Linked DNA regions of Drosophila melanogaster. The protein of the gene in region 1 interacts with the protein of each later gene in a pairwise test. Each region holds a gene or a part of one and is shown in the gene's direction. Other genes may lie near its edges.

What was found.
Region 2: the proteins of zld (region 1) and CG6996 interact in a two-hybrid assay, tested with the Drosophila melanogaster proteins (one large-scale study listed by BioGRID).
Region 3: the proteins of zld (region 1) and Mst98Ca interact in a two-hybrid assay, tested with the Drosophila melanogaster proteins (one large-scale study listed by BioGRID).
Region 4: the proteins of zld (region 1) and CG34377 interact in a two-hybrid assay, tested with the Drosophila melanogaster proteins (one large-scale study listed by BioGRID).

What each region holds. Positions count from the first base shown.
Region 1 is NC_004354.4:19,779,863-19,785,478, reverse strand, and holds the start of zld (zelda), read left to right. Parts: upstream 1-1,930; 5' UTR 1,931-2,625; exon of another isoform or gene 2,626-2,970; 5' UTR 2,971-3,192; coding exon 3,193-5,616. UniProt on the Drosophila melanogaster protein: Transcription factor required for zygotic genome activation (ZGA), a critical event in early embryonic development during which the developmental control passes from maternally provided mRNAs to the expression of the zygotic genome after fertilization.
Region 2 is NT_037436.4:20,205,509-20,210,804, forward strand, and holds CG6996 (uncharacterized protein), read left to right. Parts: upstream 1-2,025; 5' UTR 2,026-2,116; coding exon 2,117-2,120; intron 2,121-2,357; exon of another isoform or gene 2,358-2,359; coding exon 2,360-3,450; 3' UTR 3,451-4,092; downstream 4,093-5,296. Other genes in the region: CG7290 (uncharacterized protein), read right to left, coding at 1-418, 490-493; CG7017 (uncharacterized protein), read right to left, coding at 5,175-5,296.
Region 3 is NT_033777.3:28,289,171-28,293,456, forward strand, and holds Mst98Ca (Male-specific RNA 98Ca), read left to right. Parts: upstream 1-2,167; 5' UTR 2,168-2,288; coding exon 2,289-3,293; 3' UTR 3,294-3,486; downstream 3,487-4,286. Other genes in the region: Mst98Cb (Male-specific RNA 98Cb), read left to right, coding at 3,745-4,286.
Region 4 is NT_033777.3:22,320,377-22,326,118, reverse strand, and holds the start of CG34377 (uncharacterized protein), read left to right. Parts: upstream 1-2,024; 5' UTR 2,025-2,394; intron 2,395-2,739; exon of another isoform or gene 2,740-2,754; 5' UTR 2,755-2,980; intron 2,981-5,742.

The sequences.
Region 1 (5,616 bases):
TCTCTCGCTCCCTCCTCCGGCCCTACTCCAATCTAAACTCTTCCTCAAGGCCCCACGCACACAGCCGCACAGTGGAGTTCGTATCTGTGTGGCTGCGATGGAGGTACTCGTATCTGGGCTCCATTAGCCCTCGCCTTTTCTCTTACGAAATTTTTAAATACTTTTGGGCCATTCTCAGCTGAGCTTGATTCCCAGCTCCAGTTGCCCAGCAAAAAAAAAAAAAAAAAATAAAACCTAAAACAACTTGAAACCCCATAGTTACCAACAGATTCAAACCCTTTCTGTCGCTATTTATACCCCTTAATCGTAGATTGGAAAAAGCATACCCATTCGAAAGACGAAAGATCGCCTGCATCTTTGGAATATATATGTACATACATACTTATGCATACTTACTTACATGCTTAGTCTTCTTCTAGTCTTCTATTTAAAAAAGTTTCTCTAGTGAGCTTATGATCTTATGACAGAATCTGATAACAGGGTATCCGTTAGTCCTAGCTTACGATTTTTTCCTTTCTTTTTAAATGTAGATTAGCTTTCGTTGTCTCTCAGCTCTGCACTCCCGTATGCCCAACGCAATAAAAGTTTGGTTTATTAATTTTTTGAACGTTCTCAACTTTTACGAGGCCCGTGACGTCGATAATCGTCGGTTGCCGGTCGCTCAGAAACTAGGCTAGTAGTGCGAATTGGTTTTGGCCCGGTCCAGTGAGTCAACATCTGACTAAGACGCTTCGAGGAGTCTATTAATAAGCCGCCGTTCGTACCAAGGCTAAAAAAAAAAAAACGGGCACAACTGAGCAACCAAGCCTAGAACTGCAACACAGCTTTAAATTAGGCGAGTTGCGATATGGTAATCGGTGGATCACACAAAAGGGCCAACCAATCTTCGCTGTGTTCTTGAAAAATCCACATTATCGCCACTTAAGCTAAATTTTGCTATTACAATAGAGTACATAAACATTTATTTATATGGTAAGTTCTTCATAGCGTAGATGACTTCTACGAACTGCCAGAGTTTTAAGCTAGAGATCGGAATAAACATTTCGAAATCCAACCATCCTAAAGAAAACAATTTCATATAAAATTTTTAGTGCCTAGGGCGGCTTAAATATATGCAGTTCGCTGTATATATCCAGAAACGCAAATACAGCGAAATAATTTCATAAATAAACAGTGGAAAATCATTTTAACACGATCAAAGCTATTGATTTGCTGCTAGAAAGGCAATGCAGAAGTTGTGTATTATTACAAATACACTTTACAATTGCGATCCATCCAAATTCTACGGATTGTTAAGTGCAAAACCGGTTATCAATGACCTTACTTAAATTACTTTTTTATAACCGTTCAGCAATTTTCTGTGGAAAATTGTGATGGCTTGCAAAAAAGGATTCAAATTTGTGTGCATTATAAAACGTATGTATATATGTGTGCATTATAAAACATATGTATATATGTATATTAAACATCAGTTTTCACTAATAATGCCATTCAAGGCATAAAAATATAAGCATTCAAATTGCGACTAATCGTTTATGTACATGTCTTCGAGAGGATTTATTAGTTCGATCTAAACAGATTGCAAAACTTAGGTCTCAACTAATGCTAATTATGCATGGGATACTTTATCTTGATTCCGAGCTAACTTGTGGTACTCTCAATGCAAAGGGTATTGCAAAGTAAAGGCAGCGCAAAGCAAAGGCAAAACCAAAAGCAAAGCAAAATCAAATGCAGCGGCGTTGACGGCAGCCGTGCGCGACAGAGACAGCACGCACATAACCGAAACGCCGCCGCGCAGTGTATATAGCGCACACACACACACAGCCACGCATGTGCGTCGACTGCGACGCCGCAGCCACAGTCGCAGCCGGCGTCGCTGCCGGCAGAACGGGTAGAACGAATGTGCCGCATGCACGGCGGTGTATTTGTCGGTCATTTGTATTTGGAACGCCGTAGCAGACAGAAGGACACGGGTGAAAAAGCGACGAAGCGTGCGAACGGAGTGGAGCGGCTACTTTTAGCGCCCTTTTTTGTTTCATTTTCCCCACTCACAAAACGCAACATTTTTGGCAACAACTTTTCGGCAAACCAATTGAAAAACAAACTAAACGAACTAATCGCGGCTCGGGAATCAACAACAAATTTAATTCCGATGCAATACTTGTGTTCGTAAACAATTTTTTTCTGTTCGATCCGATCCCCGATAAACGATAAACGCGAATTCCAGTGATCTTTTGGAAAAGGGCGAAGCGAAAAGCGAACCCAAACCGAAAAACTCTAAATCACCGGTAAAAAAAAAAGTGGCGAGAGAGAGCAAGAAAGAGAGAGAGAGAGAGATAGGGAGAGTGTGATCACATCGCATCGCCATTCTCGCTTCCCTCGCAATTCGCAAAAACAAAATTCGAAATTCAAAATTGACCAGCATTCGTTGCGGTTCCGATATTGGTTTCTTCAGTTCAGTTCAGTTCAGTTTCGTATTATTTATCGAGTCTGCTGTTGTGTGTCTTTCGTTTCGCCGAAGAGGAGCGGTGAAAGAGAAGAAGGAGGAGGAGCGGAGCAGAAGAAGAAGGAGCGAAGCAGAAGTCCAAGTCCAACGAAGAAGTGCCCAAAGCGAGGCGCAGATAAGTAAGAAAAGCAAAAGAGAACGGAAAAGGGATCTTCATCGAGGATCCTTCATGTATATATTTTTTTCGAGTGTGTGTGTTAGTGTGCGTCGTGAGCGTCCATGTGTGCTCTCCACAAACAATTGCAGTTGACATTACGTTCGCAAGTAAAAGCTATTGTATTTCCACCATACAAATCAAATTACAAAAGTGCCTGCAATTTCGCATCGAAGTGAAATGGACACCAAGAACCGTTAGACACCAAAAGCTTTGAAAACACAGTGTGCATGTGTTTGTTTTTTTTCCGTTTGCAACTCAAGTAACTTCAAACTAATAATGGCTTAAACAATAATTGGCTTATTTTCAGTACAAATACAAAGCACAAAAAAACAAAAAATCACAAAAAAATAAAACGAAACGAGAGCATATAACATAAAAACCCAAAACAAAAACGATCGGCTCAGCAGAGCCAACGAAAAGCAAGCAGCGTAGCAGCAGGAGCAGAGGATGCACCACTGATCCCGGAGAGCTCGAGACATGAGAAGCGAAACACCGAGCAGCCACCAAGCATCGACTTATGTAGCGGTCCATGACGAGCATTAAGACCGAGATGCCGCCCCTGCACGCGGCAGAGGCGCTCGCCTCCAGCAGTGCTACAGACAGTGGTGGGGGAGGAGCAGGAGGAGGAGGAGGAGGAGGTGGAGGAGGATCGGGCGGACCAGGAGCGGGAGGAACGGGAGGCGTAGGCAGTGCGCCCGCCACACCCAATGCCACAATTAGCGCCGCCGCCGACTCCAGTGATAATCAACCCGGCACGCCGCAGCCCACGCAACAGCAGCAATCGACGCAGCAACAGTTGCAGCAGCCACAATCGCAACAGCAGCAGCAGCAGGCCATGGGTGGAGGAGATCCCCAGCAGCAGCAACAGCAGCAGCAGGTAACGGGTATCACCCACCAGCCGTACGCCACCCACCACATGTACTCCGCATCTGGCGGACAGCAGCAACAACAGCAGCAGATCTACGGCGGACTCTACGGCGGGGACATGCAGCAGCAGCAGGGTTACGCCAGCAGCTACATCAACAGCTACGAGCAGTTCTACCAGCAGCAACAGCAGCAGCAGCAGGGCACTGATTACGCCTTTGGCACCGTGGGCGTTGACTATGGCAAGAGCGCCGGTGTTCGCTATCATCCCTACCTGCAGACGCCAACCTCCGGACTGGGAGGCATTCCAACGGCCAGCTCGGCACAGGAGGAGGCGGGCAGTGCGCCCAGCGCGGTCAGCACCACCACAGCGGTGGCCATGAGTCCGCGTGTGGTTAGCAGCAGCAGTCCAACGTCGACGTCCTCGCACCTGCAGCTGGGCAGCTCCAGTGGCCAGACACCAGGCTCACCAGGCGGAGCCGCCGGAAGTGCCGGATGCAAGTTGCAGTGCAAGAAGTGCGGCATCCTCACCACCAACGAGTCGGAGCTACAGGAGCACATCGCCAACGTGCACGGAGAGTCGCCGTACGGCAGCAGCGGTTACGCCAGTTCACCGTACATCAAGGAGGAGATGCCCACACCACAGCCACCCGGCGTTGGATCCGCAACGGCCAATCCCGGCGAATTACTCGACCTAGATTCCCAGAAGATGGTCTATCACCAGCAGCTGCTCCAGCAGCAACAACAGCAACACGACGTGGTCGCTGGACTGCCGCTGGGCGCTCTGCCGGATCCGCTGCACTCGATGCAATCTATGCAGCAGCGCGCACTCCACAGCTGGGAGCAGCAGCCACAGCAGACGGTGGCCTCCGTGGAGGGCCTGCCACCCTACATGCAGCAGGGATTGGGCGTGGGGCTGGGAGTCGGTGTGGACAAGTCGCCCTACTACTCACCAAAGCAGTCACCCTATCATCAGTCAACCGGCGTTGGCGGAGCCACGCTGATCAAGCAGGAGTACGGCGGCCACGGACTGATCAAGTCCGAGTATCCCGATTCGCAGCATTACGTGGACAAGTCCTTCGATCCCACAGCTGGCGGAGCTGGTGGCGCGGAACTGTGCGCCAGCGTGGCCACCAGTCCGGCGGAGTTCCCCAGCACCACTACGGGCGGACCAGGGCAGGAGGGAGCGGCGGGTGCGGCGCCAGGAGGTGGATACCGCGGTTTCGAGCCACCCAGCTCGAGCTCCGTGCTGCCGGCCAACAGCCTGACGGCCAAGGCGGCCACCTGGAAGTCGAACGAGGCGCGCCGTCCGAAAACGTACAACTGCACGGCCTGCAACAAGTGGTTCACCAGCTCGGGCCATCTTAAGCGCCACTACAATACGACGCTGCACAAGAATGCGGTTAAGTCGAGCGGCCAGCCGGATCCAGCCACCCTGCCCATCTCGGCGCACCACCATCCCGCCCGCGACCCGGTGACGAAGCCCAGTCGCAGGGGCAATGCCGCAGCCGCTGCGGCCGCCGCTGCAGCTGCCGCCTCGGCCAGCGGTCAGGGTCAGCAGCAACAGCCGCCGATACCGCCGCCGCCGGCCAATGTGCCACCCCCGGAGCCGCCTAGAAGTCCGCCCGATTATGGCGGAGGAGGCGGCTTGGGCGTGGGAGCGATGGGCGGCGCTGCCATGTCCCAGTACTCGGCCTCACCCTCGCCCACACAGCAGCAGCAGCACCACCTCAACCACCATCAGCAGCAGGCCAACGGCTATGCTAATGGCACCGCCAACGGCTATGGCTACATGCAGCAACAAGTGCAATCCACGACAAACGCTTCACCACAGCACGCTTCCAACAACAACAGCAACAACCAGCAGCAGCAGCAACAACAGCAGCAGCACCATCAGCAGCAGATGCCGCAGCACCACAACTCCGTTTTGAACGGTCACCCAAACGGGCTAGCAGGTCCCTCCGCCCCACACAACAACAACACCACCCAAATGCCGTCCTCCCAAATGAGGGGCCTGCTGAACGAAACAACAACCACGCCGCCACCAACAACAACAACCCGAGCACCACAAATCACAACAACAGCAACA
Region 2 (5,296 bases), on another chromosome or scaffold:
TAGTTGTTCTTGTACACACAGGCCATTGTGGTGGGATTGAAGTTCTCGCCGGCAGGACAATTGCCCCTCACAGCGCCGGAGGCTCCGCAGTAGTAGTAGCCGCCGCAGGACGAACTGGATGCCGCGAAGGATCCCACCGCCTTGCCCAGACAGGGATCGGAGTTGCTGGTGCAGGTGCTCGGCACAGTGCCCGTGCACTGCTGGGCATTCTTGTCGAAGTAGTAGCCCTGGGGACAGGACATGGCCGTGAACGAGGATCCCTGGCACTGGTAGTAGGTCGAGCAGTCCGACTGGCTGGCCACGTAGTTCCCATTGCTGACCAGCAGGCACAAGGCGGTGACATTCACATCGGCTATTGCTGGAGCGGCACAGGCGATCACCAGCGCCACGGCAGCGAGGATGGTTGCTTTTTGTCCACCTGGAAGCGTTGAATATATTCATATGATGTTCCAATTTTTCCTGTTTCGAACTTTTATATGCGATACCCACCCATTATTTGCTTCTTCTTTTGGTGGCTCCTAGTTGAATACTGTTTCTGGTTGATGGACTTCCTGGGCTTTTATTTGCAGTCCAGCCAGGAGTTATCTTCGATCCGCTGGGCTGTCCAAGTTGATCGACGACCCTTCAGCTCAGGAACCCATTTTGTGATGTATCGCAAGCGAAGCCAACGAACCATTTTTGCATGATCGATGGCCATTTTGACAAGTCAACAAAGTTTTTGTGGGGATAAGAACTTTCCCAGAACTCAGACGGATAGAAATTTGGGTTCTTTTTATTAACTCAAATGTATTTTTTAGACTGCGTTTCTATAATTGGAATATTAAAAAGTTAATGTGTAAATAAAAGAGCAATAAAGAATTACATCGTGCTCTAAACTTATAACAGAGTTCGCATTTTAAAGCTAACGACTTTATAATTGTTATAATTGTTTAACCAAATGTATATACTTGATTAAATTTGAATGAGTTTTTTACCGAATTATATAATTCAAGTAGTACCATATCAAGAAGTTCTCCAAATATGGTCCTTTCTATTTTTTTTTTCAAACAAATCAATTAAACGAAATGAGATTAGAGTAATCTAAATTAGCTTAAAATTACCTACATATTATATGGCAAAACCCACACACTTTGTTTTTAATAATATTGACTAATTGTGGCGATTCCTAGACATATTTGTTACTATCGGAACAGAAAAGTTGGACTTATGTGGTAAAGCCCAATTGACTTTAAAAAAACAAGTAAGCTAGTGTAGTTCCTCGACTTTAAGATACTCAGTACTCATTTGAAGGGAGTTCAAGGACACTAGATTTTTTATATGTGGTTTACTTGTTGTAGCATACCTATACACCAAGTAATTTTCACATCAATCTTCTATATTCTTATACAATAGTATCTTTCCTTTCAACGAACACTCTGTACACTCATTTACTCTACGACTATCAGGTACAATTAAAACCGACGATCGGCAGATTATTTCATAAAGTTAGTTTAATCGTAAATAATTTCACAATAATGTATAATTTTAAACAGTAATCTCAATAAGTATGTATGTCAGTAAGAATCGGTCATCGTGGACTATTAATAGCATAATGTCGTGTGCACCTGAGTCAGCAGATCGCAGGCGATAAACATAATAACATTTGATTTTGAAATAAAGTTAATTACTATATGTGTAATAAATTAAATTAGACCCAATCTAAAGATAGTAATTATAAACAAGCGGATACGAATTCGACAACGAATACTACCAAAAAACCAAAGGTATGACCGCACAAGTTGACAAAAATAAAAACAAATTGGGTTTTAAATGAACTGCGCACCGGCGTTGGCCAAGTTTATCACTTGTCAAATTTGGATTTAACCGAATCTGATAAAAGTGAAATATGAATACGTCATGCGTCCATTTTAGCCACTGAAGACAGTTCTAGACTAACTTAGAGCTTCCAAAATTTACAGACCTTTCGGAAAACCCAAAAGTAGCGAGGGCATAAGCATTGTCTTTCGATTTGTATTTATTGGCGAACTTGGATGGCATCCAGTTAGACGTTCTTTTCCTCGTTAGCCGTTAAGAGGTACTTGTATCTTTGGAATACTAAAAGTTTGCTGAACTCGAGATGGGTGAGTATCTCTGGCACTAGCAGATATCCATCGAAGTAACTATATTGTTGTTTCGAGAAGAATTACCATTTCATAGACAGATATAAATATAGAAAACCGTAGACTTAGGCTCAAGAAGTTCATAACGAAAACTCAAACATTTATTGAAAAAAAAATATGCAATTTAAATCGAAATTGAAAGCATACTTCACTTGCAACTTATTTCGAATATCGTACTTATACCCTTTTATGCAAAACAGACACAAAGCTCGCCTTCATTTCCGGACTCATCATGATCCCCACGATATCAGGCGCCCTGACCTTCAATGCAACTCTAATATGTAGCTTGGTGGTCAACGGAACCAAGATGAACGATCCTCGGGCGTGCAACGCGTGGATTCAGTGCATCGATGGGAGCCCTGTGAGTGGTAGCTGTGCGACTGGACTCTTCTACGACCGGGAGAGCCAGAAATGCCTGAGTTCCAGTAGTATCAAGTGTCTGTCCAGTGATCCGTGCGCTGCTCTGCCCACCGGATTCGCGGCTGATCCGTACTCCTGCAATGGTTATTACTATTGCAAGGATGGCAAGGGGACGCACGGAGTGTGCAACACTGGGATGAATTTCAATTCGGGAACGCAGGACTGCATCCGCGATTTTCCGTGCTCGAATAAAATGGACCCGGATAGCTATTGCAACATCTTGCCGGATGGGGTCTTCGTCAAGGACACGGACAACTGCAATGGCTATCAGTTGTGCTGGGATGGCCAGGTGATCAATGGAACCTGTCCGGGCACCTTCTACTTCAAGGCCTCCACGGCCCAGTGCGATTATCCGCAGAATGTGGAGTGTGACTTCGTCCCAGTGCCAGATATTAGCAAGAAGGGTGTATGTCCAGAGACGGGTGGATTTATATCGGATAACAAGACCTGCAATGGCTACTACTACTGCAAGGATTTGGGCAATGGAGAGTTCTCGCTGGAGCATGGCGTCTGCTCCGATGGAAGATTTTTCCTGGCCACCGATGGCGGAGCCTGTGTCCCGCGATCCAAGGTGAAATGCGGCTACGATCGATGCGTGGGCTTGGGCAATTCCACCATTCAGCTGGCCAACGAGTCGGATGATGGCTGCAGGGGCTACTCGATCTGCCAGGATGGCATCGTCATTGGCCAAGGAACTTGTCCGCAGGACGAGTACTTCGACGAAATAACCCAACGGTGCACCACCCAGGTCATATCATATACCGCCTGTCAGATATCGGAGGCAACCACCGGGTCCCAAGTTCCAAGTGGCACCACCACCACCACCAGCAGCACCATCACTAGCACCACCATTGCGGTCCCGGTGTCGTGAGCAGCTCCTCATAAGTATAAGTAGTGCTGTTATCAGGCCCAAGTCCCATACAAATTATAGATCAGCTCTTTGTTTAGATTTCGTGGAATTGATCACAATACAAACATCTGAATTTTCAAATGTATTTAGGTATAAAAAGATTATTTCGAAAAGCTTAGTTGTACGATTAAAAGTTGACTCATTTGTGAACCATCCGAGCCATAATATAATCTTATCCCGCCTGCCAGAAAACGTCGGCTGATGAATGGCACTATCAGCAATATTTTGGTCTCGTGAGCGACGTACGCAATCAGTTTTAATTAGACAGTTTGTTTTTTCGACGCCGATACAATAAATATAAGTGGTGTAATCAGGCGCAATAACGATTAAGTTACCAGATCACCTCTGGGCCAAGATTTCCTTGAATCGATTGCCGAGCAAGACACTCGGTAACGTGAAACCGTGATGTCATACTCAAGAACACCACTTGGAAATTTGGCGATGGGAAAGTACCAGGGAGGTAGCCATTGGATCCCATTCATGGCCCATACATGGGTGATATCACCGTTTTTAACAACTGCAATAGGAGATTTGAATGGAAAAGTACGAAGTTATCGTACTACAAAGTTGATTATTCAAACCACTTTATTCATTAGGCACCATATATGTACATGTACATATGTCTATGAGGTGTCATAACAAGATAACTTATATTATTGAGTTTTTCGGAATTTGTTATCGTTATTTGTTATGATCAATAAATACTAATACATTATAGCGAGGCTGCAAAGTTGCCCCGTTTGTCATTTGAATACTTGACCTTTCCTACATACAAATCAATCATCCGCCCTGTGGACTTGTATAACTTCCTTCTTAAAGTGGACATAATTGATTTCTATGGAGAACGAAAGCGCGTCGATGCATTTCATTTGCATTTCACACTCATACAATATTTGTGGACCTAATGGGTAACATCGACCCTAATAGTTGAATTTAATTAGTGATAGACAAAAACGACCCTTGGGCGTTGGATACTTCTTGCTCGCCTGATGGCCAACACGGAAATAAGCGATCGCGGCAGCTCCGAGTAGCGAATTCATTATCTGGACTATCTGGAATCGGTTTGAAATTCTCCGAACCCTCCACTGGGGTACAATTTTAATTAAAACTGATAATTTTTTGGGCACTGCAAGTGTCACGAAAACAGATTGCCAAATATGAATCGTTGTGTGGCGCAGTTTTGATATCAAAAGGGTTGCCAGAAGAATTTTATCACGCCAACTTCGTTTCGCTAATGAACATTTCCGCCAATGTAGTTCAAAAATCAGTCCAAAAAATCATAGTATTTCTCTAGCATTATTTATACCAATTCATATTTTATTGTTCAAGGTTAGGGTAACATCTTCTATAAAGAGGAAGCAGACGGTAAAATTCGAATGGAAAGGGAATAAAACTACAATAGAGCCAAATGCAATGGATAAACTATATATATATACATTTCAGGTTTCAATGGAGTAACACATTTATTGGACATTTTTCGAGAAGCTAATATTTGTAGACCCATTTCCATGGTAAAAAGTAAATGGATGAATGTCATAAAACTTAACACTTCCCACCACAAAGTACATGAATTCCTTTCAAGCAATGCATTTGACCTCCACCATGAATTGGATCGATTTATTGGATATTTAAATTGGATGCGATTTGGTAAGGATTGTGGTAAGGATGCGATCTTCTGGGACAGCCTACACGGAACATGCGATGTTGTGGTAGTTGGTCTGTGTGCATCCCTGGTTGCGCTCGTCGAAGTAGTAGCCCGTTGGGCACTGGCCCAGGCTGACGGTCACTCCGCCGGAGCAACGTCCAT
Region 3 (4,286 bases), on another chromosome or scaffold:
GTAAAAAAGCGGGAGCCGAAAAATATGATTAACCCATTTAAAATTATGGCAAATATTTGAATTGATTCTCAGACCTTATTAAAAGTGTTATGTCATTAAATTTCTCATTTAACTTGTATGTATATTTATGTATATAAATGGAGTTAAGATTTCGAACCGCTAATAATTTAAAATACAATAATATTATTCACGTCTGCGCTTCAGTAGGTTAAGTCCCGACTCCGATAGAACAACGATCCATCAGCGTATATGTCTGTGAATATATATATGCTGTGCGCAGCCCATAAATAAATATATAAATTTAAATAAAGGCCGCCGCAATACCCGCACACTCACAGTTTGTTTGTCAATAAATCAGAATACTTATCAACGTCAAAGTACCGCAAAGAATGTGAGCAAACAATAAGAACTAAATGTGTGTGTGTTTCAGGAGGTCCATCAGTTTATTGGGAACTATTAAAGTTATTTATGAAAATAAATGGAATACCTACAACTTAAAAATAAAACCTTTCATTGAGCTACAAACATTTCTACACAGTGCCTAAATTATTCGACAAATGCGCCTCTATCTTGACTCCAGCAGGCATTGTGGGTGCCAATTTATGGGCAATCTGTGCTTATTTTCCCATTTCCCAGCCCAACATTGTTTTGGGCCTAGTCCCGAACTAAGTCCGCTAATTGCGCCGCCTTAGCCGGGCCATCTCGACCGGGTTTCGGGGAAGGCCCCGTCCATAATTATGCGAAATGTGCGCCATTTCTTCGGACTGTTGCCTGTTATTGTTTGCATTATTAGCTGACAATTTCGGTGGCACTGTGATGCCAAGTGGTGGGTCTGTGATTAGGCCGGCTCTTTGGGCTCTGGAAATTGTGGGATTAGCAGGCGCTTTGTCTGTGGCTAGAATCTTGGTCGGGCACCATCAGCCTGTCGCTCGATAAGCGCTCCAGGGCAACTCGAGTCCAAGAAGTTGATGTTTTTCTTGCATGATTACGACCATAAGCCAACGGCGTGTTATTGCAGGCCAAAGAAGTGGACGGTTTTCTTGGGAAACGCCCGAGTTCAAATCGATTGAACCAATGTTGCTCTTTAAATTGGTTTAATTTAGACATTTATTGTATCTCAACTTCCTGGAAGCAACTTGATTAAATTTCCTAATTTAAATAACCGGAACTATTGGACAGCAACTAATTCTGAAGAGCAAAGGCCATCTAAAATATCGCTTGATTTCTTAGCTATCACTAATGTGACTATCAATTCGAGGAAATGAAATTTTGTAGAATTAATAAAAGTCGTGTGTTATTAAGAAAATATTAAAACGTATTATATTTATTGTTTGAATACCAGAACGTTTCTTATTCCGAGCACATATTGTAGCGTTTGCCCCTCGCTTTTGGCATTTAAAATGGAGCAAATATTTTAGAATTCACCTGAATCGCATGCAAAAGCCTTTGTCAACATCAATGGTCCGCTGTGACCACGCTCTTTGTTGTAGTTTTTTGTGAATGCGCAATTGTTCAGTGTCGTCATGGCTGTGGCATGCACAAAGCGCCGATTGCAACGCCCATCCATCCACCCAGCAACCCCCCCCCCCCCCCACCTACTAAAGCTTTCAGGATATGCCATCCAACTACCAACTACCATACCGACCAAAACGCTTTTTTTTCGGCGCTGACATGTCCAGGCACTGGGGCAAAAACAAACCCATATATGTATATTCAATAGGCCGGGCGCTGCCAGAGTGTTTTCCGACGTTTTTCTGTAATTCGTTGTAGGTTTTTTCCAAGTTGGCTTTCGGCCGGTCCGAAAAAAGCGGCCTGCCTACATAAAGGCGCTAGCATATTAAAGGCTTAAACCCACTCAACGGCAGATGCCATATTGTTGAAATATATGCAGATACGTCGCGCATACGTCATGTGAAGATGGAATCCGGTTTGCAAAATGCATTCCATTCAAGCAGCGTTCTGTGATTTTTCATTGCAATCGGTTAAGCAATCGAATCCACCAGATTTATGTATTGTAAGCATATATTTCCATTCAAAGCTCAAAGCGATTTTCACCTTACCTGCACAACAAAAACACTACACTAGGGTGTGATCGTAGAGCTCGGTTTTTCAAATTTCGATCGAAGTGGGCCTGGATTATTGTGCAATGCTGTCGTCCTACTGTTATATCTCATTCAGTTTCCTGTTTCGCTCCGAATAACTTCCAAATTGAACAGTAAAAATTTGTAACAAAAATAAAGTATAATATTTTTCTAGAAATTTTATTTTGGAAAACTTAAGTCGAAAACATGTGCTCTCCGTGCGGTCCTTGTAGTCCATGCGATCCCTGCTGCGGTCCCTTCGAGTGCTCACCCAAGTGCTATAATGCCGCCCAATTGGAGGCCTTGCCACAATGTGCTCCACGTATTCCACCTCCCTTCCCCAAATGCATCACCGTGCAGCAACCACCACGCATGATCTGCAAGAAACGCGTGGTGTTCACGGAGAAGATTGTGCCGGAGCCAATGGTGGTTAACCGATGCAGACAGATTACCATTCCAAAGGTCGTTGATGCCACGCGGGTGATCAAGGTGCCCAAGCTGATTTGGGTGTCGCAGATGGTGCGAGAACCCAGAGTAATCTACTACCCCTCGATGATCCCCGATCCCTATGTGGTGTGCTATCCCAAGCGCGTCTGCGAACCCCGGGAGGTGTGTCAGTCGATCCTGTGCCAGCCGAAGCCACAGACCATCGACATTCCGCCGCCAAGGGAGTACTGCTGCTATCCAAATGGACCCATCAACTACAAGCCCAGTGCAGCGTGCCCACCCTGCCCCATTGGACCATGTGCTCCTGGAGGACCCTGCTGTCCGCTGCCCTGCTTCTCCACAAACCAGTATCCCGTTGCCGAGGGTAGGTGCGGACCCTGTGGACCTTGCGGTCCAGGATGCGGACCCTGCGGTCCGCGATGTGGTCCCTGCGGACCCGGCCCGTGCGGACCCTGTGGGCCGAGATGCGGTCCGGGTGGACCGTGCGCCGTGCCCAATTGCGGGCCCTGCGGCCTCACAATGCCGTCGGGTCCGTTTGTCCCGGCTCCGTGTGGACCCTGTGCTCCATGCGGGCCATGTGGACCGCTCGGCAATAGTCCTTGCGGTCCTTGCGGACCCTGCGGACCCTGTTCGCCCCCGTGTCCGTACGAGTCACCCGAGTGCGGCCCCTGCTACCCGTGCGCCCCAACTCCCTGGAATACCCACTGCGGCCCAGTTGGTCCTTGCGGTCCTCAAGTGCCTTGTGGACCCAGCGGCCCCTGTTAACATCATCGTTGTGCTGCCTGGATTGTTGTCAGAAACCGGTGCCCAGTGGACCAACTTGTCTATCACCAATACAGATTGCCATAGTGTATTCTCGCCGTTCTGCTCAAACACCACCAAAAAAGTCTACAGTTCTCTATACTTTGTCAACGCATGGACGACTCATTGGCTGTAAATAAAAATCGGATTTATGCATATATAAGGTTTTTTCAATTTCTTTTGACAGGTTATGCAATGGTTTCTATCCAGATAAAATTTTCTACCAAATTTTTGTCAAATAGTAGGCCTTGCCTCTGCTTGTCAATCTACCTATGTTCGTTACTCAGGCTTAGCTCGCATTTTGAATCCGGTTTCGCTTCGATACACTTCTAAATTTCTCTGATCAAATTTTATAAGAAACAAAAAACAAAAATTAACTTTTTACTCTTTCGGTTTATTCTAGTCGAAACTTAAAATGTGCTCTCCGTGCGGTCCTTGTAGTCCATGCGATCCCTGCTGCGGTCCCTTCGAGTGCTCACCCAAGTGCTACAATGCCGCCCAATTGGAGGCCTTGCCACAATGTGCTCCACGTATTCCACCACCCTTCCCCAAATGCATCACCGTGCAGCAACCACCACGCATGATCTGCAAGAAACGCGTTGTGTTCACGGAGAAGATTGTGCCGGAGCCAATGGTGGTTAACCGATGCAGGCAGATCACCATTCCAAAGGTCGTTGATGCCACGCGGGTGATCAAGGTGCCCAAGCTGATTTGGGTGTCGCAGATGGTGCGAGAACCCAGAGTAATCTACTACCCCTCGATGATCCCCGACCCCTATGTGGTGTGCTATCCCAAGCGCGTCTGCGAACCACGTGAGGTGTGTCAGTCGATCCTCTGCCAGCCGAAGCCCCAAACCATCGACATTCCGCCGCCGAGGGAGTACTGCTGCTATCCAAATGGACCCATCAACTACAAGCCCAGTGCAGCGTGCCCACCCTGCCCCATTGGACCATGTGC
Region 4 (5,742 bases), on another chromosome or scaffold:
TTGCCTATATGATATGCCCCCATGCTCCAGATGACGAGGCCCGAATGCTTTGTCAACGCATGCCACATGGAATATTCATCGGTGGAAGCGGTCTGCTGGGGCCAAGGGGGCGTGCCACAGTTTATGGCACGTTTGTGCCGCAGCCAGCTCTCATTATGTGGCAGCCACCGCAAGTACGTGCCCCGGACAGCCCATAAGCGGGACATGCCTTCCGCCCTGCATTCCGTCTATGCGGAATCTCAGCCAGACCCCAGATCCATGACCATCACAACTTCTTGGGGCATTGTTCTTTAATTTTCCTTTGATTACCTTTTTTTTAAGCCCACATAAAGCCTTTTATTATTTTAATTTTTATAATCTGCATCGTCAATTTTTTAAATGCCTTAATATGCATTTAAAGTGCAGGAAATTTGGAAATGTGCTAACATTCCTAATTCCCTTTCCAAGATATCTTATCAAATAAACACGAATTTACCCGTGTTTTCTATTTTTTAATGACATCCCTCCAAAAAGCCTGCAATATTCTGCATCCAATCTGATTAGTCCGCGTTGCCATCTATAGATTTGCATTATTAACACTCCAATCCGGCGTAATTCGTTGATTAAACCACCGTGGGAGTTCTGGTACCCGGGTCTAGACCCACCCACCAAGGTCGGCAGGTGTGGCGCACACCCGCTTTTCGCATTTGGCTGCATCAGCAAACAGTCGCCCGCTCCATGAGAAAGTTTCAGCGAAGCTGCCACAGCGAAATGTTGCTGATGACAGCAGCAATATCAGTCTGCAGTGGCAACAGCTACATCAGCAGCAGCAGCAGCAACTGCCGCTCCCTGGATTTGTTTGCAGTCATTCGCATGTGTCATCATCAGCGGCCGAGATGATGAAGCACAAAATATGCCCAGGCGCGCTAGCAACTAAACTGACTGACTGCCAGTCTGGCTCAAAAATTAAAAAAAAAGAAATTAAAAATAAAATATAAAAAAATTGCACAAGCACACAAGGCAAACAGACAAATGAGGACGCCAGCGGTGACATGATAGCCTGTGAGCGTCTGCCGCCTGTCCTGGTACACTGAAACATATATACCTATAATGAAGTATATATATATATATATATTTTACTAAAAAGTGTATTCAATGGACAAGGTTCTTTACAGTTTTTCACTCAACTATTCTCTTAAGCTTTGCCACTCCATTCCATATATAAAGCTTTAAAGTATTGCTGTAAGGAACGCAATAATATTGTGCATAGAGCACACTCTTTTCTCCCAGTGCATCGCAGCGTTGGTCTCTGCTGGCTGCGCAGCTGCTGCCTTTTCCGTTGCTGCTGCACGCGTTGCACTGCCGCCGCTGCCACTGCCACTGCTGTTGCTGGTGCTGCTGCTTGTTCTCTGCTATATTTAAATACGCTGCGGGTTGCAACGTCGGCTGGCGTGGCACTTCATTTGCTTCCACAACTCATTCATGCTTTGGAGCCCAGACGGCCTGTCAGAGCCGTCTAAGCCGGGGTAAACACTCTCCGGGCCCCTCATCCTGCCCCTCATCCGCTGCCTCATCCTGCCAGCCGTCGAGCTCATGTGCCTCACCTACTTTCCGCTCTTAGGCTGAAGCCTCAGCTCCGCTTCGGGGTGGCTGCAGCGAGAATAAAAAGAGAATGCACGGCATGGCCCGCAAAAAGAAGAGTTAAATAAAAAGCTGGGTTGAAAAAAAAAAAAAAACCCTCCCTCCTGGGTATCGCTTACAACGGGGCACTTGCAACCAGCCAGACCCCCGATTACCCCCATCCGTCAACCTATCGTTAGCGTTAACGCTAGCGTTAATGTTCACGGCGCGGCCTTCCTCGAGGAGTTCAGTTCAGTTGCTCTGCTCTGCACTGCACTGCTCTGCTCTGCCCGATTCTCGATTCTCCGGCAACGGCACCGGCAGAGGCAACATAGCCAACAGAGGCAACTGAGGCAGTGGCAAGAACCCAGGCCCAGGAGGCCGTGTTTCTGCTGATGGTGCCACAGTACGCTCGCGTGCTTTGCATACTTTGGTTGCGTTTTTTTACTCCGCTCCCGGTTGCACGGTGCACGGTTGCAGTTCGCCTATTCGTTTTGGCCGTCTCACTGAGTACGCCTTGCAATCAGCCGGGCAGCAAACTGCCGCTTGTCGCGTAATTTGCCCGCCATTTTGCACCATTCCGCGTTTCCGGTTGGCGAACCTACTTCCGGTGACAGTTTTTGCGCGCGTTTTCGCCAGCCATTGTTCTGGCCAAAAAAAAATTGGTTAGAAGAAAAAACGCAGGCAACGGCGGGGAATTTCAAATCCGATGTCGTAAATCAAACGAACGGCAATTGTGCGTGTGTGATCGGCAGGCTCTACACTGAGAGAAAGCTAAATAAAACACCCCTTTCGGTATGTTTTCACATCCATAAAAATCATTAAAGATAATGACAAAATATTAGTGCTTGTTCAGTAACAGCAAGTAACAGCATTTTCTTAATCTTGTTTGTTGTTTGATGTTACGTTTCCTTTTAATGGTCTAAGTCCGTGTTTTTTGCGCTAGCTCAATATAAATATATAATACAAAAAATATTACAGTAACTTTATATTATTTATAAAATATTCTAATAAACTTACTGCTTACTTAAAAAGACTTAATCAAGAACAAAAATTTGATTTCTTACATTGAATGAGATCTGATAGATTAATGCAACTCAAGATGCATTGAGTACCTATTGGCCAATACAATTCGATTAGTTTTCTTCCGTGTAGAACTTATCCAGTGGTCGAGTCCCCAACAAGTGGGTGGCATTGGGATTATGTCTTTGCGGGCACGGAGCAGTTGGCCAATCCCCGGCAAATGAAGTGCGGCAGCATTTGATTATATATAGCGACTTCCGAACCGCTTAACTTGGCTGTGAGTGTGCGCGAGTGTTTGCATGTCTTGAGAGCCGCGAACAGGACACAGCCGATCCACCTACTGATTACGGCTCACAATGTAAGTAAATTGCGGAATTACGGGGTCTCGATTCGTTGATTACTCAATCAGCAGTCAATGGGTTTAACTGCCGGATTTCCGGAGCGTTGTGGGGAAGTACGACTGGGGTTCGTACTAATCCACGGCTTCATATCAGATTGATAACTATTATTCAGTTGATTGCCTAAATAGGTTATTAGTTTGAAATAGTGCGCGCCAATTAAGGTGCTAGTGCTAAAATAGTAATATGTAAATATTCAAATTTTAACATCAGAAAGATACCGAAAGCCTTTACCAACCAAAGAACTACAAATTTCGCTTCGCTTCATTGAAATTTGCTATAATCTGAGACATTTTTGATACTTAAAACATTGCAAGTAGCACAGTTTATGGATGCATTTGGAAAACTTGTCTGCAGCTTCTTGCAGCCTTCCCAGACGAGTTCACTATTTGAAAGGATTTTAGTTTCGTGCTCATTTTTTAACCATCGAGAAACTGGAAGCTGAATGAAGCTTCAGCTGACTGGAGGCTGTCTTCTTCCATTCAGCCCGTCTAAAACCATTCCTTTTTGGGCCATTCCCACCACAATGAAACCGCAGCGAAGCCGAAAAGAATAAATATGAAAAATATGAGAATGCAGCTCGAGTTGGGCATTCATGCATCTCCGTCTATTCACACTCATTCAGCGCGGGATGAGCTGGCCTTAAATTTGCATAACAAGCGACAAAAGTCCCCCGAATCGTAATTATGTGCAAACAAACGGGGCAAATGAAATTTCAATTAAAAAACGAGTGCGAGAGCTGGGGACCAAACCAAAAAAATAAAAAGGAAAAAAGTGAAATCGAAGCTGAAGCCTATGGGTGGGGATGCCCCCTTTGTAAGGCTTCCCGGCCACCGCAATACGCACTGTTGGCTGGGAAAGGGAGCAGCCAGTCGAGTTGAAATGAGATGAGTTGAGGCGAGTTGAGTTGCGACTCGAAGTGAATGCCGAGTGCCAAGTGCAGCGCCAGGTGCACTGACATTGGCACACGAACGAGGCTGCAACCCGACCCCCCCCCCCTCCCATTACCCCTTTCATTTTTTCTGCAATTCGTGACCCACCACCCCCTTCACCATTGTGAACACCCCTTCGAGTGACTGGCAGTGCAATTTTGTTGCCAACCTTGAGGACGTCGCTCTGCCTGCTGCTGCACGCCTGATATTCCGGATTCAAGGCTGCAAGCAGGGGCGTCCGAGCAGGGGTATCCCGGCTCATTTTCGCTGTTTTCCCATCGAATTCAGCCATTCAGTGGATTGATTTCCCCTGCACAATGGGTGCACGTTCAACTAGGGAATATATTTGCATCCAGGATATCTAAAACTTTTGTTTGCCACTCGTGAATTTAAGATTTGAGTTTTTTAGTATAGCTAAATATTAAAAAACTTATCTTTAATAATTATGTACTGATATCTTAAATTCATTAGCATTACGAGTGAACTAAACCGTCGGATTGCAGTGAAATCATACTTTGCCTGCTCCGGAATTTAGTTGTTTTTATTTTCCGTATATTTTCTATTTTTTTTTTTTTTTGAGCCAACAATGTCAACATGGCAGTCAGCAGTCAGAGGAGCTGCAGCTCGCTTTTTCCACTTCCTGCCCTCGTCGTGGAAATAATCAGTGTGCGCCTTTTTGTGTGCATTGTTGTGCTTTGGGGTGTTAAGGGTTGGAATGGGTTAAGGGGGTGGCAGGTTGCAGCGCTCAGTTGCCATTGCAGTTAATTGAAAATACTAAATTTCCACTGTCTAGACGGCAAATTATATGACAATTGTTAGAGCGCGCATGTTTGGCTTTCATATTAAAATTAATTACTCTGGCTGAAATTTTGCATAAAAATTTATGTGAAAGCCATAAACAATGGGGCCATTGTCGAGCCGGCTTATGTTTATCTGCGAATGTGAGTGCTGCTTCTGTTTCTGTTTAATTTCAGCACTTTCGCACAGTGGGCTGTAAGTGGCACAGGAGTTGGACTTAATCCCCTTTGGAAAGTTTCGTAATTAGAAAGCTAAGGCGATAATCAATGGTGGTAATCGGGGAAAGCGCGATGCATTTGCGAATTTTCACACGCTTCAGGGCTTACGAATTTCTCATAATTATAGCAGAGGATATATACTCTTGAGGGCGAAGGTGAAGGAGTCCAGGAAATTGCAAATTACAAACGGAAAACGTGGGCTGGCCGAACACCTTTGATCACAAATTCAGCTCACTGCACACAAACAATTATTTGGCACTTAATAAACAATGAAATTGAAAATTTAAGACGCTTATCGTAGTCAGTTTGCGGCATATGCAAATTTAGTCCAGCTTTCATGTAATTACACTCGACCCGTAGCATCTTATATATGACATTTTCCATGCGAAATATATGGTATGGTATAGTATGGAATGGAAGTATGTATATGGCCCATGTACGGAGTGCCACTGACATTCATTAACCGAGAATTGCAACCTTTTTGGGTTTTGAGCCGGAACGGGGTTTGCTCGGCTAGCTCGTAAATAAACTTTGGCAAGCTGTTTGCAACGGCTGCGTATGCAAAACATCTTCAAAATTGACTTTACTGATTTTGCCTTTTGCATTTTATTATGTGTTTATTATGCTAACAATGTGCCGAAAGTTTTCCCGGGAGTCTGAGATGCGGGTGGGCATGTGGTTAAATATTTGCAGCTGCAGCAGCTCAGAGGCGTTGGCATGAAGGGGGTAGGAATAATTCAGATTGGGCGCCTTATAACTGAATTATAGATTTGC